2 linked regions of the Oreochromis niloticus genome follow. The protein of the gene in region 1 binds, or shares a complex with, the protein of each later gene. Links are inferred from orthologs where the notes say so. Each region holds a gene or a part of one and is shown on either strand. Other genes may lie near its edges.

What was found.
Region 2: the proteins of ptar1 (region 1) and ykt6 are in contact, whole or in part, in a crystal structure (PDB 6J7F), measured with the Homo sapiens proteins. The link is inferred for Oreochromis niloticus from reciprocal best matches to the Homo sapiens genes PTAR1 and YKT6. Residues at the interface, in NP_001093136.1 of Homo sapiens: Glu31, Gly33, Leu34, Ile35, Pro36, Val48, Val50, Glu51, Lys53, Leu54, Gly55, Ser58, Lys135, Tyr191, His225, Ser228, Met229, His230, Val231, Ser232, Asp233, Phe298, Asp301, Leu302, Ser305, Tyr306, His309; in NP_006546.1 of Homo sapiens: Met1, Ser29, Phe30, Phe31, Asn83, Glu84, Pro86, Gln131, Asn132, Pro133, Arg134, Gln180, Phe184, Arg189, Ser193.

Annotation. Positions count from the first base shown.
Region 1 is NC_031977.2:970,907-978,795, reverse strand, and holds the start of ptar1 (protein prenyltransferase alpha subunit repeat-containing protein 1), read right to left. Parts: upstream 3,155-7,889; 5' UTR 3,086-3,154; coding exon 3,000-3,085; intron 1-2,999.
Region 2 is NC_031977.2:26,281,060-26,288,809, forward strand, and holds the start of ykt6 (synaptobrevin homolog YKT6), read right to left. Parts: upstream 3,180-7,750; 5' UTR 3,085-3,179; exon of another isoform or gene 2,914-3,084; intron 2,570-2,913; 5' UTR 2,529-2,569; coding exon 2,425-2,528; intron 2,275-2,424; coding exon 2,192-2,274; intron 409-2,191; coding exon 308-408; intron 223-307; coding exon 118-222; intron 1-117. UniProt on the Homo sapiens protein: Vesicular soluble NSF attachment protein receptor (v-SNARE) mediating vesicle docking and fusion to a specific acceptor cellular compartment. Functions in endoplasmic reticulum to Golgi transport; as part of a SNARE complex composed of GOSR1, GOSR2 and STX5.

The sequences.
Region 1 (7,889 bases):
CAAGTGGTGGAAGGCTTTCACTTGGGTTGTCTCAGGATCTCATCTCTGCTTTTTGCAGATGGGGTGGTTCTGTTGGCTTCATCGGGTAGTGGCTTCCAGTTCACACTGGAATGGTTCGCAGCAGAGTGTGAAGCTGCAGGAATGAGAATCAGCACCTCCAATCAGAGGCCAGGGTCCTCAGCCAGAAAGGGGTGGAGTGCCCACTCCAGGTCAGGGACGAGTTCTTGCCCGAAGTGGAGGAGTTTAAGTATCTCTGGGTTTTGTTCACGAGTGACGGGAGAAGGGAGCGGGAGATCGACAGACGGATTGGTGCTGGTGCTGCAGTGATGCGGACGCTGCACCGGTCTGTTGTGGTGAAGAGAGAGCTGAGTGTAAAAGAGAAGCTCCCAATTTACCGGTCGATCTACGTCCCTACCCTCACCTATGGACACGAGCTGTGGGTAGTGACCGAAAGAACGAGATCGCGGATACAAGCGGCAGAAATGAGCTTCCTCCGAAGGGTGGCTGGCCTCTCCCTTAGAGATAGGATGAGAAGTGTGGACATCCAGGAGGGGCTCAGAGTAGAGCCGCTGCTCCTTCACATCGAAAGGAGCCAGTTCAGGTGGTTCGGGTACCTGACAAGGATGCCTCCTGGGGGATGTGTTCTGGGCATGTCCCCCCGGGAGGAGACCCCGGGGCAGACCCAGGACATGCTGGAGAGATTATATCTCTTGGCTGGCCTGAGAACTCCTTGGTGTTCGCCTGAACAAGCTGGAGGAGGTGGCTGGGGAGAGGGAGGTCTGGGCTTCTGTGCTTAGGCTGGTGCGACCGCGACCGCCCCGGATAAAGCGCAAGAAGATGGATGGATGGACAAAACAAAAAAAGACCTTTTCAGAGAATTTTAATTTATAGAGCTGAACAGGTTCTCTGTAGTACTCTCAGAAAGTCTCTGAAAATGTCACAAAACTGTATAAACCCGTAAAAAGAGAAAATCCTAGTAATACCTTAGTAGATCAAGGTCTTGGGACCTGTTTAAAGTTTGAATTCCATCTCTAGGTCAAACTATGCTGAACTAGTTAAGCTTCAAAATACTGGAGGTGTGAAAAGCATGTGAAGAAGATATTCTCCATTCATTTGGATGGAAAATATATATAAGTACAAAAGTAAAAACAGTAATGTCTTGATGCATACGCAATCATCTAGGTACATAAATCTCCAAAAGTTGTTCATCTGGACGTAACGTTTTCAGTGGGAGGTCAGTTCCTTAATCTTAATTATGCAAATTCTTATGACCATTGATCATCAACCACTGATCAATGTCCATGAGTACCATTCACAGAGAGTTGGGGAATGGCTGCAATCACAGCAGCCATCTACTTTATCAAAGTAGATGTCTTTCTGAAAGTGCTGTAACTAAGTTTAAGAATATAATCCACCCACTGTTATCATCTTCAATGCCCTGTACCAACATAGAGCAGAGCAGCTATCTGAACGCTACTCCAACAGAGGTCGATTATCTGGTTAATAATTTTACCTCCTCACTACGTACGACTCTGGATACTGTAGCTCCTGTGAAAACTAAGGCCTCAAATCAGAAGTACCTGACTCCGTGGTATAATTCTCAAACACGTAGCTTAAAGCAGATGACTCGTAAGCTGGAGAGGAAATGGCGTGTCACAAATTTAGAGGATCATCATTTAGCCTGGAGAAATAGTTTGCTACTTTATAAGAAAGCCCTCCGCAAAGCCAGAACATCTTACTATTCGTCACTGATTGAAGAAAATAAGAACAACCCCAGGTTTCTCTTCAGCACTGTAGCCAGGCTGACAAACAGTCAGAGCTCTGTTGAGCCAACAATCCCTTTAACGCTAACCAGTAATGACTATTTAAATATGTTTTCTCTAATGGGCAAAAAGTCCTTCTCCCATCCCAACCATTCGCGGCAGATGGCCCCGCCCCTCCCTGAGCCTGGTTCTGTCAGAGGTTTCTTCCTGTTAAAAGGAAGTTTTTACATTTTTATTTTGAATGAATTACAAATAAAAGCTAAGAAAACACGTGTTACTGCTGTCATCCATTCTGACACTAACACCCAGAAAACTTAAAAGTGAACCAAACACATCCAAACTGAGGGGATTCTTTTTCCAAAGGCTAGCAAAAAACCCAAAGCAGCTGAAAATCTGTGGTTATCACACTAAACTAGAAGCTACAACGATTCATCGAGTAAATTTTAAAAATCCTTGTCTCAAATTCTGTACTTTGATATCTTATTTAAGCCACATGTCTGCAGCGCTCTGTTGTCGAGCATTTTACACACATTTTCCCAGCATCTCAAAAAGCGACACTTGTTCCTGTAGTCACCATTAAAACCTTTACTGGGAAAAAGTCCTTTTAAAACATAGCAAATTCTAAACCAGTGAGTAGCTTTGAAAGCCCTATTTTTTTCCTGTTTGGAATATTGATTAGTGCTCATTAATACGACAAAAGTATCAGATTACTCGATTAATCGATAGAATAATCAGAATATTTGATTGCCAAAATAACTGATAGCTGCAGCCTTAAAATTCTTAACATACTATCACACATGATTGACCTAACATCACGTGCTTCTCATGGCATGCAAATATTCGGTACCACCATATACACAAATGTTAAGCATCCCAGTTCATTCACCGGCGAAATAAATAATAACACCATTAATGAAACAACATGATCGGAATGTCGCATTTTCAAAGCTGCATAGCTCAGCTCGGTAAAGTCGTGAAATATCCCGCTGCAGCAATGTTTTAAGTTATTTAATTGTAAGTAAACAGTAATCCCCACGACATCATGTCTCACAACTGAACAGAACAAACAAAACTAAGTGTCTAAAATGTAAACTTCATCTAGACAGTTCCGATTCCAGGTAAGAGTCCACGCCCATAATTTAAACCCTGAATCAGCCGTGGCCTAGCCCTGGATCCGCTGGGTGTGAAACAGGCCTCCGGGCCCAGCGCTGTTTGTTCGCAGCCGACTGTACTCACATGCTGGGGTTCTTCTTGAATGCATTCGCGATGTCTTTGACAACTCTCTGGACCAAGACGTCTACCTCCTCCTCCGACTCCGCCATTTTTAGAGCACCGTCTTCTTCTGCTTCTTCTTCTTCTTCCTCGTTGTTTTTATTGGCGGTTAGCAAACAACGAATTGGTGCATTACCGCCACCAACTGGTGTGGAGTGTTGACCGTCATTTATATTATAGTTCAGATCAGTCGCTGATTCCAAACCTGTTCTCCTATTAACTCTTGTGCCCCTCCGATCATTTCAACATGATTTTTTATTTTACATTAATGCTGTAATTCATGTTCTGTTGTGATCATTATTAGTACACCATGATGAGATGTGTGCATTAAAATCGCCACATCACAATATATTTCCATTCAAATAGAAATGAAGTTCATTGGTTCAGATGAAAGCCTTTTGCATGGGTTGATGCTGTCCTTTCTATTCCAAACTTGGACTAATCTATAATCTATATTCTGTTACACATCCTCCTCCCTGAACCTCGCCTCTGTCTCTGCATACCCTGCTATATCCTCTGATTACAGAAAGTTGGTTTGAGCCAAGTTTCCTTAATACAGATCATTTCTGGTTTCATGAATCCTTTAAATTCTTGTCCATTTGCTATTAAACGTCGAGCTTTCTTATTATCCTCCCTCCTGATGTCCCTGGATCCCTCCAGTCCTTTGTTAATATGTTCTGAAATGCTTTTACACCAAAGATCTTCTCTGCTCCTTTGATTATCATTTTGATTTGATCTGTTTTGTATTTTAATCAAGCTGCACAGTCAGTGACAACTAACAACAACATCTTGTCAACTGTAACTGTAGATTCTGTTTTCCCACTCTGTCCACAGGGTGAGGTTGAATTTGGTTGAACAGTCTTCTCTCTCCATCTAGACTGCCCTTGCACTCTCCTCACAGCCTCAGCAGAATGAGGAGGCCATTCCAGTCCAGTCACAAACCAGTTTATGCCAAACTGCTGCTCCCAGAGCACCGACTCCTTTTTCTTAGTCATTTTTATTGGCGGCTCGTAAATATCAAAAAAGGTGCATTACTGCCACCCACTGGTATGACTATTGAATAAACTCTCGTTCACAAAGACAAACAAATAAACAAAAAACAAAACAAATAAATAAAACTACAGATTCTACTCAAAACATTTATCTGTCTTTCTAAAAAACAAATATGTAAATATGGCCTGATAGTTTTATTTCTTGTGTTCTTTTAAAATAAATATGACCCAGTTTCACTTTCACATTATTAAGGTTTTTATCAGCTGTCTCATGTTTGTGACAGTGCAGTAAAGTACATTGTTCTATGGTGTCGTCTTCTACAGCACAGTCACATTTCCCCGTACGTGTTTCCTTCTATTTGAAACAGCTGTGATATTATCGTCTCCTCTTTCGGTTCCTTCCTGCACCTTTTCTTTAGATTTTGTAAGTCTTTTTCTTTCTTCTCCCACTGCTTTTGGCACCTTTCCTTCATCTTCTACCTTTTTTAAGTCAATTCAATTTTGTTGTTATAGCGCCAACAACAGTTGTCTCAAGGTGTCGTAAGGTGATGACTCTACAATAGCACCCTTACTACACCTTTAATCTCTGTCCAACTGAAAATCATTTTTGTGGCTTCATCTGTGAGCTTCTCTTCTGTTTAATTTCCTTTTACTGCATAATGTGATGTTATTAAACTGCAGGCCCTGTTATCCTGTCTCTGTCTGGCCTGCTGAATGAATACTGACAGGCTGTTTTTATTGCTGAATACACAGTAAAGCATTTGAAAGTACTGATCATAGAAAAATGATCTGTTTATTCTTTAAGCTGATCTTAGTTCATACTTTTAACTGTTGTAATTTATTCTGATCTTTAATCATCAGAAACATGATGCATCTATGAAGCTACTGTGAGTAAAGGTCTGCCCAGTCCTTTATAGAGCATGGTTAGGTTTACTGTGTCATCAGGACCTGCTCTTAAATAAAACACAGGAGTGTTCACTGCAGGCTGCAGTGGTTGTGATGGGGAGCTGAAGTCCATTTTAAAGGAGTGAGAGAATCACTGCTTTGATCAGTGTAACTATTTTTAATGACTGTTGTTGCAAATGATCCACATTTATGTGTTCACCTGTCTGTACTGAATATGATTATGTGATTGATTATGTTGTGATGATTTTAATCTCAGTGAGGATTTTACCTGGATAAAGGACAATGGCAGGCAAAAACAAATGCTTCACATCGTTGGTTAACCCTGCCACCCATGCTTAGAGTAAGTGGGAAAAGAGAAACAATGATAAGATAAGAAGTGCTACGTGAGCTGTGAAGTTCTTATTTTATAAATACAGAAAAGGTTTACAGTAGACAGGGACAGTCCAGCATACTGTGGGTTTTATTACACTGGCTGACAGAATTAACATGCTGACTTGTAGAGTTGTAACAGACCATTCTTAATGTTGTATGTGATTTTAAAAAGTGTTATTAGAGTTTTGTTTCAGGTCTCCCATTAAACACTACAACACTACTTTGTCCCAGCTGCTGAATGGATTGTGTGTAATGAACTTCAGACTTTCACAGACTTGGATCCAATAGTAGAAACAATGAGCTTTGCCAATTATGTTAACAATAAAGGACTAACTAGGAGAGAGAGAGGTTTCATTTTGAATTTGTTAAAATAAAGTAGGTACTATATTTCCTTTATTGTGTTTATGCTCGTTGTCTCTCATTTTCAGAATTACCATGGGCTAAAAATGGTTTAAGGAAACTCAACTTTGTTACACACACTGCTGTCCATGCATTACCCTGCAGAGTTTTATGTGATAATTAAAATGTTCTGATCAGTCAGAGTGGACACTAAACTGTATTTAATTTGCAAGCTTGCTAATAGAAATGAGGGTCATGAGTCCCACCTCCTGGGTGCCAACATTAACGGTCTCCTCATATATGTTCACCCTGGACACTGTGAAGACTCCATTTCCTCCACAATTAAGTTCATTTGTAAAAATTACACAACTACAACTACACAACTCATTCAGATAAGAATAATGATTTTTCTTTTCATGAAACCCCCCCAAAATCTAGTGTAATAGGCCCATGGTCATTAGTAGACCTGTAATAGAATAAAAAACGGAAGTCACATGTTTCTATTGGTGAAACACGAGCACTCGCTTTGCAAGGCTGAAATAAACCCGACATATTACAGAGGATGTGCAGCATTATGCTGGAGGTGGGATTGAAGATCTCTCAGACCACCACAGACCAGAGCTGTGACAGCTGCTGGGTACACCACATCTGTTCATCATTCCCGCCCCACCACCTGATCCACCTCACCACTAGGTGGTGATGTGGTGACAGCTTATCTCATTTCTTTGCCCAAGTGCCCAACACCTACGGCTTCAGGTCTAACAGTATCACAACAGCAGCCTTTAAATTAAAATAACTATATAACAGTCTTCTGTAGTATTCCCTTTACATTTGTGCTTTTGCATTATTGGTTGGTTACTCCCTCTGATCTCTGTCAAGTTCATAAGTGTTTCACACATTAAACATTATTTTGCCATTTGCCTCAGTGTATCACCACACTGGACTTTGAATCAAACAAACAACATCTGACTAAAAACTTTAGACTATCAGCTTTAATTCAAGGAGTTAACAAAACTATTACATTAACTGTTGAGAAACATTTTCTGAAAGTGTAACTTGAAAACAGGGTTTGTAAAGGAGTGCTTCTTGGATTCTTGCTCGTCAGAGGTGCTCTTTGGATAAACTTGTTTAAAAAAGACGCGTTTCAGCCCACTGGCTGTGTTACATGTGTGTAACTATTTAATGTTAAAGGTTTAGTTTGAATATTTAGAAGTCATGTTCTGTGAACAAATACACGCACAAGCCACATTTGACTGGTCTTCAGCTACCAGTGACACTGTTCTGTAGTTCTGCCTGGTTACTGGTTTAGGGTTGGATGCAGCACAGTCTGCACTGAATAATGTGACTTGGAAGGTCAGGATGCTTCTTGAAATGCATGTGTGGATGTGTTGAATGTTCAGGATATTACAGATATGTTGTAAATGTTGTTCATTTTTATGGAGTCAAAACAGGATTTGTGCCAAACTGCAAGACCACACAATGTTATGTTTCACTATTTTGTAAAATAAATACATTTTTTCTGAACATATATATCTATATCTATATATATATTTTTTTTTTAAAAACCACCCAGCACTCCCCTGCGGGCGGTTTATCCTTCAAGCTTGGGTCTACCAGAGGCCTGGGAGCTTGAGGGTCCTGCGCAGTATCTTAGCTGTTCCCAGGACTGCGCTCTTCTGGACAGAGATCTCCGATGTTGTTCCCGGGATCTGCTGGAGCCACTCGCCTAGCTTGGGAGTCACCGCACCTAGTGCTCCGATTACCACGGGGACCACCGTTACCTTCACCCTCCACATCCTCTCGAGCTCTTCTCTGAGCCCTTGGTATTTCTCCAGCTTCTCATGTTCCTTCTTCCTGATGTTGCTGTCATTCGGAACCGCTACATCGATCACTACGGCTGTCTTCTTCTGTTTGTCTACCACCACTATGTCCGGTTGGTTAGCCACCACCATTTTGTCCGTCTGTATCTGGAAGTCCCACAGGATCTTAGCTCGGTCATTCTTTCACAAATATCCGTCTGTTATTTGAAAGATTGAACTGTTAAATTCAAATGTAATGCTATGGAAAAATATATAAAATGATTCTCATAAACTTTTTTTTACATCAAATAATTATTATTATTAGTGCTATTTAGGGCGATCGTGGCTCAAGAGTTGGGAGTTCGCCTTGTAATCGGAAGGTTGCTGGTTCGAGCCCCGGCTTGCACAGTCTCGGTCGTTGTGTCCTTGGGCAAGACACTTCACCC
Region 2 (7,750 bases), about 25 Mb from region 1:
TGGTGATTATGGAGTCCTTCTGATATTGTTTTTAAATCACACAAACAGTTTAGTTGCAGTCATAGAATATCAGGTCTTTCGTTAACATAAATTCTGAGAAATGTAAAACAAACTGACCTGGTATTTAGAGAGGTGAATGTCAAGGGCTTTGTAGTTAATGGTGTCAGGATTACCAGAGGGCCAGTCTATACTGTCCACTTGCCTAGAGAACTCCTCTAATACCTAAAAAAAAGCAATGTCACTATTGAAATCAACAACAAGTCTCATAATATGTATATGTATTTTTTTTTTTAAATATATAAACCACCTTGTCAAGCAATGTGAAACAGACTCTCTGTGGATATTCAGTATCTGCGATGACTACAGCACCCAAATTGTCATTTCTCACATACACATGGCACAGGTACTCTGAAAGAAAAAAAAAGGAGCAAGGTGTGTTGTTATCAGAACAATGTTCACCCGATCTTATTGTACAGGAAAACTACTGTGTCTACTGGTGCATTGAAGAAGGGCCAAAGAATAAAAAGCCTTATTAAAATACAACTTAGCAAAATGTTCTCCATACGACTCCCAAAACAAAAACAAACAAACATCACACACTCATTATGAAGCATAACTCCGTAATGACATTTGTTAAAGTTCATGTCACATGATATGATGATTCAGCCTGCATGAAACTGAAGAGGGGAAAAGCAGTCTGTGTACTCCAGAAACAAGGAAATGTTTAGCGTCATTGTTTTGAGACAGCTTAAATTTTACTTTTATTATCTCCAACTGTTTAAAACTGGACTTAAAATGTCCATTTTCAGGCCAGAGAACATGTCACAGCTAGGTATGGGTACCGGTATCGCACCAGTTCTGACATAAACGGTAGTAACCAGACCGAAAAGCAGCGCACATTTTGGTGCTTTATTTCGGTGCTTTTTTTTCCTGAGATGTCATACACTTTGGATTCTAGCCAATCATTTTACGTTTCCAAAGATAGTAGGCGGGCCCAGGTATGTACGTTCTTTTAGAGCAGAGCTACAGATTAAAAATGCCCAAGGCGAAGTGGTCAAAAGTCTGGCTGTACTTCACAGGAAAAGATGCAAACTCAGCAGCCTGCAACAAGTGCTTTAAGCTGATACTGTGCAAAGGAGGTAACACCTCGAATCTGATGAAACACCTGGCGACGCATAGCATTTTTTTAAAAGCCGAGAAATACACCGTATTTGATAGCTTGCTGCAAGACCTCACACCGAGCACATCTACTGCGGGTGTGGTGCCTGTTATCGAACCCGGAGTTAGCAACATCCTCCAAGAACCCGAAGAGTAGAGTCCTGGCCCCTAGCCCTGTCAGCGTAGCAGAAATGATGACGGATGATGATGGCAACAGCAGCCGTTCTTCTCTGCGTGAGTAGCTTAATGTTGTTTGTGTGTAATTTATGTTGAGTAGGCTAACCACGTTATTAAATTAATGCATGTAAGGTGAACTAGTAAACACCGTCGTAGTTACATGCGGCTGTCTTCTTGTTTGATGGCAGATACTCCCTTCACCCTGGCCAAAAAGGCTAAAATGACCAAAGAAAAAGTGGGAAACAGTTAAACATGAGAGGTTTTTGGACAAAGTTGGTGTTTTTTTTCCCCATTGTTTAAGCACTGCTTCCAGCCAAGAGTGATACCATAAATCCCCTATAGCTGCAGAAAAGGCTAACATTGTTATCTTTTTACAAAAAAAATCAGCTAAACATGAGAGGTTTTTGGACAAAGTGTGTGTTCTTCGTTCTTTAAGCACCGGTTCGAGCACCGTTTAAGCACCGGCACCGTTTCAAGAGTACCGGTTTGGCACCGGTATCGGATAAAACCTAAACGATACCGATCCCTAGTCACAGCCCCATCACAATTTCCCTGTCAAACATCAAATCACTTTTCAGCAGAAATCTCCTTCTGCCCTACTGTGACGCAGGACACTGCAGAAAGTCATTCCTTTATGATATTACAAATCACAACTTATTATTGTTCTCGTCCTTTGAGATCTGTGATAGTCTTTAGTTATCCAAGTAAGCGGCTAATGTGCAGCCTTTTATACCAATACCACTGTAGAGAGGATACTTGACAAAAGGTTACCCTGAATCTGTAGGGTCTTCTCTGATGCAACAGCACTAATCACTGCATCACAGGGCCACACCTAAAACACTCTAAATCTGTTTACCTTGTTCTTTGACGGAGGCACGGGTTCCTTGAGATGTTCGTTCGACAATCAAGGCACTGGTGAAGGTCATGAACTCCTGAATGCTAAACAAACCAAAGCAATACTTAGTGTAGAGTAGAAAACACTTAGAAATAGTGAAATAAATACTACCCGTGATGTGTGAGGCACAGGTCAGTACTCTAAGAAATAAGGAACTGCAGTAAAAACTGTTTCGTTTCGTTAGTGAGACGCACCTGGAGCGCTGAAAGAAACTGAAGGAGGACAGGTCGTAGGCCGCTTTGAGAAGATTGGATTTGGTCGCTCCTTTGTAGAGGATGCTGAGACTGTAGAGCTTCATATTGCCACCGGTTCGTGTGTCAGTTACACAGTCCTGATAGTCTGATAACATAAGAACAATCACATGAGAACATTATCCTTTATCCGGCTCAGCTAACTAGCTTCCCCGCTAACAAAAAAAGAGAAACTTCAACGACGTGAAGCTCGCAGCAAAAGCAGTCGCCGCCTAGATAAAAGCTTGTAGGCTAACTGTTTACTCTCAGCCATAGTCATTTTAGATTAACCATTTTCCCTCCTTACAGATGGGACTAACAGGCTGACTGATGGCGAAAAGCAAAGACTGCAAAGAAGTTGATTCAAGTTTTAAACTTGTCAAGAAAATTACAAAATTTAATCAGATTAGCTCCAGCTGCTATCTACTCTAAGGCAGGCCTCGGCTAACTTACCAGCTAAAACTATCGCAAACCGTCTGATTCCAATCAAAACAGACAGAAAAAGTCCAATTCCGTATTGAAATAAAACTCGTAGGTATGTACGAAACACGTCCACTAACCCAGTCACAGTATAGTTAGCGCTAACTTAACAGTTTTTAACATGAACTTAAAGTGACCAATCACCACGTCACGGTCCCCAAACGGTGCAATCTGACATTCACTCCGCTGGAAACACGCACACCGCTGGGCTAAGAGTTCCGGTTGTTTGCCAGATTCAAAGCGATATTATATCTACCTAATATAAACGTATTTACAACGTATTTACACGGAGGGAAATCTTAGACACACGGATGGATAACAGTCAGCCTTAAACGGATCATATTTATTTTTCATCTAAGGTACTATGTACACTGTTGGATGCAGCAAATTAATTTTTATCGGTTTAGATTAGCAGGATTGCGAGATTGTAATAACTGGTTCAAATGATAATATGTTTCAACATTTCAACCATATTTATTGACATTTAATAGATGTGCTTTTATACTAATGGTAGAAAACCCTGAATTTGTTATTCTGGGAGAACTGATTGCTATCCACTTGTTTGTGTGAAGCCAAACAATAAAAGTTCCACTTTATTATTATTATTGTTATTGTTGTTGTTGTTGTTGTTGTTGTTATTATTATTATTATTATTATTGTTGTTGTTGTTGTTGTTGTTGTTGTTGTTGTTGTTGTTGTTGTTGTTGTTGTTATTATTATTATTATTATTATTATGTCCTTAATCTGTAAAAAACTATTTTAACATTCAGCTGTTTTATGGCAACCTCAATTCATGTTTTCTCGGGTAATCTTGCTCCATTTAGCAATTTCCTCCTGGGCATTTAACTCCGTGTAGGTAAGTGTTTTCCATGTCAGATGTGAGCCTGTTATTCATTTCCTTGGTGACACATTGAAATCCTATTGGCATGGAAACCAGTAAGTATTTAGGTGAATCTGATGATCGTCAGCTGCACTGAAGGGAGAAATGAGTTTTCTTTTCCTGGAACTAATTTTGTTTGAGTTGAGATACTGTCAGTGAGAAGTTTGCCTACAAGCTGGAGGTTGCTTTCATATTTTTCTCCATTTTACTTAAAGATGTAAGGGTTTATCAATGCGACAAAGGTTTGGTTGCTTAATTTATTGTCTTGTTGTTCTTGTTTAACTGACTCTTGGATGGCATATTCATTGTGTGGATATTAACTGGAACCGCTAACAAGAATGAAGACGTCCATAGGTTTTCGCCCAGAAACAAATGTTTGAGTATTTAAAATATATAACATTTATGTGTGTAATAGATAGATACATATGTAGATAGTGAAAATTAGTCCTTCATTTTTTCCCACACATATTCTTTAGGATGTAATTTACGCTATTTATGACTGAAGATTTGAGTTTACTGTGTCCAAGAGTTAAGAGGAATTCTTAGTTTTTATACTTTCTGCCAAAAGTATCTGCAAGAATGAAGAAATTTCCAAAAGCTATTTAAGATACTTTGGTCACCTGCAGATTTTATTTTTCTGTTTACAACTTTGAAAGTAGAAAAACTGCAGATATGTAAATGTGGTTTCAAGCTGCTGCAGAGAATTATGTAGACCAAATGCTGGGGACATAATAATGGTTGGGCCTTTCATGCACCTATGCCGAGGCAAAACACCATAAGAGCAACAACTTGGGAATCATCAAAACTTCTAAAGGGAGGGAACTTCCACCTCCAAGACTAATGGTCGGCAGGACACTTCGGATTTAGTCATCATTGTCATACGATGGAAAAGGTAAAGAAACAGTTTTTAAAAAAAAAAAAAAAATCTTGCTATCTGCAAAATTTTAATGTGATGAAATACATTTCTGAACAGATGCAACTTTTAGAAGAAGGTTATCGCTACAGTATAGTTCACAATTCAATGATGTTGATATCAGTGATATGATCTTAGACTATAAATGGACTATTAATGGCAAAAGGTAAATAAATGCATGAGTATCTTCTAAGTATCTGTTGTATCGTGGCTACAGTTGGATACAGAAAACGTGATAGGACGGACCTAAAATATTTCCATTTCCTTGCACTAATTTTTTGATGAACACGATTAAACGAATTGTCCTTGACGTACAGTTTGTAGTAATACACTATAACGCTACAGATCTTTACGTTTCTCTTCTTGTAATTGAACAACACAGTTGCTTCAATCTCTGAAGTTTACTTTGCGAGAGACAGCTGGAGATCCATTCAGGCAGGCTTCTGTGCAAACAGGCCACATGTTAAATTAACTGGATAATCATCTATTGACAAGCACTTGGCACACATTCAATTTCTCCCTGTAAATGGACACAAACTAAACAAACTGCGTGTGTGTTACAACATGCTTCTAACAATTTCATCACCCAATATTATCACCCCCCCCCCCCCTTCTTTTAAATATCGTATTGTTTTATTACCAGAATCACTTAAACACATCCCAGCTGGTGAAAATCAAGTAAAAATCAGACACATCACAAACACATTAGTGCTTCCTCAGTGGCTTTGGCTCAGTTGAATGACACTTGAAGACAGCAGAAAGAAGGCGCAGAGAATGTTTCTTCACAGTTAAAAGTATTACAGTACAGCAACTTCTTGTGAAGGAGAGGTTGATGGGAATCTGTGGCCAAGCCAGCTGGAATCCAGTGAGTTCCAGCACAGATTTGTTACTGTAAACATAGTAATGATTTTTAGGTATTAATAGTAATGTTTATGTAACAGTTTTAGCTTTTGTTGTAACTACATTTAAGGTTTTGTGTGACCACTGCAGTAAAATAAATTTGTTTTCCCTCATCCCACAAAGTTTTGTTCATCTGGATGTAGCATTTTCAGTGGGAGAAACATTTGATCACATATCCAACTGACTACTTCAGACTCATCTGACTGCAACTTTCCCCAACCTTATAAACTGACCGCACGGCCCATTGTTTATCAGTGGTGCTAGTTTAGGTCATTATGCAAATGTACTGTTTATAAAGTTGGGAAACCTGCATTCAGCTGAGACTGAAGAAGTCACTTGGATGAGTGACGAAACATTTCTCCCACTGAAAACGCTACGTCCAGATGAACAGAATCAACTTTCTGGGATTTCCTTACCTGGATGATTGAGCATGCATCAAAACATGTTTTTCCTCATGTTACATGCACATGAATGCAAATGTTATTTTGCTTTACTGCATAGAATGTGAATCAGCATTAGAAGACCATTCACTTTAATAAAAAAAATTAAAAATAACAGTTATGCTTTGATAAAGAAGTCTGTTAGAGGTTATATTTGGCATCAGGGAAGATGTAACAAGACAAGACTTAAATCCGAGCACTGACAAAACATCATAACATTTTGACCATTCTGGTTGACCCCATGCCAAAGGAACATATCATTTTGACAGCAATACTTCACTTGAATTAAGTTGCAGCATTTTGCAGGTTTACTATGGCAAACTACTGCATGCATGAACTGTTTTGGTACATGCACATTCAGTGCTGAGAACTTCAAAAGATTTTCAAGAAATGTGTCAGGTGTGAGACACCAAAGTTTAAAAACATATCAGATATCCCACCTGATAGAAACAAATTGTAGTAATTTTATTTTATTATTTTTATTTTATTCATTTTTAAGCATTGTATAGTTATACCAAAACAACAAATATATATAACATGCACAGTTAATGACTATTTAAACTTGAAAGTAAGGTCAGTCTCATTCTTTGAGTTTACTTATCTTACAGTACTGGTGCTGATCCTTTAAAAATCAAGGCCATTACTAAAAAAAACCCCCCTGAACTCAGGTCCAGCAAACTATTGGAGAAAAAGGTCAGAGCTAAAAAAAGCTCTTACCTCTGGACAGGTAAACTGTTGGAGCTGATAAGCAGAGGAGACCTTCGCCTCTAGCGTGCTATTTTAAGATTTGGAGGTCATTCATCCCTTTTTATTTCTAATTTCGGCATGTTTGCAGTTTCGCAAACATACGAGTATCTTTCAGGTCCAACATTGATTAACCCCATAGCTTTGCATGGTGTTCTTCTAAAACAAAAATCAATTATAAGTTCGGGCCACAGGGTTAGTTGACATGTCATGTTAAAAAAATGCATTCTAAAATAGACTGAGGCTAAAAGTCATTTCGTATATAAAAGTAACAAATAACCTTGCAAACCTAAAACTTAACATTAATGGATAGTGAGTCCCTCACCCTAACAAATCACATAATATTACTTGGAGATCACGTTTATTGTGATGTTATTATGAGTTTTCAGGCTTTTTTATGAAAGCCTGAAAACCACAGCAGTAAAAGCGAACAACATTAAAACATATTCAGTGCTCAAAATCAGAATCACAGCATCAGAATTATTATAATTATGTAGTAGCCCTAATGTTTATTAAATACAAATAATTTTTATTGTGATTATGTATTAAAATAACCGATTAATAAAATATTAATGTACACTGAGTCAGGATAGGGCCTCTGTAGAAATAAAATAAAGGCAAAATGTCATATCTGACTATTTCTATCAGCTTAGTCATTATAATAAACTCTCACTAAACTAAAACACAGCAGTCAAAAGTAAAATTAAAACTAGACTAAACTTAGAAATAAAAATTAACAAAAGATTCTGTACTATTAAAGCAATTACTGCTGCTTATGGAGCCATTTAAATCAATGCAGATGTCTATGTGATTGGCTGCTGGCGTTGTTGTATTGCATCATCTTGCTTTTAAATCTAATAGCAATACAACAAAATCAAAAACTAAACACTAAAACAAGCCAAACACTTTGGAAACTAAACTGAATTTAAAGCA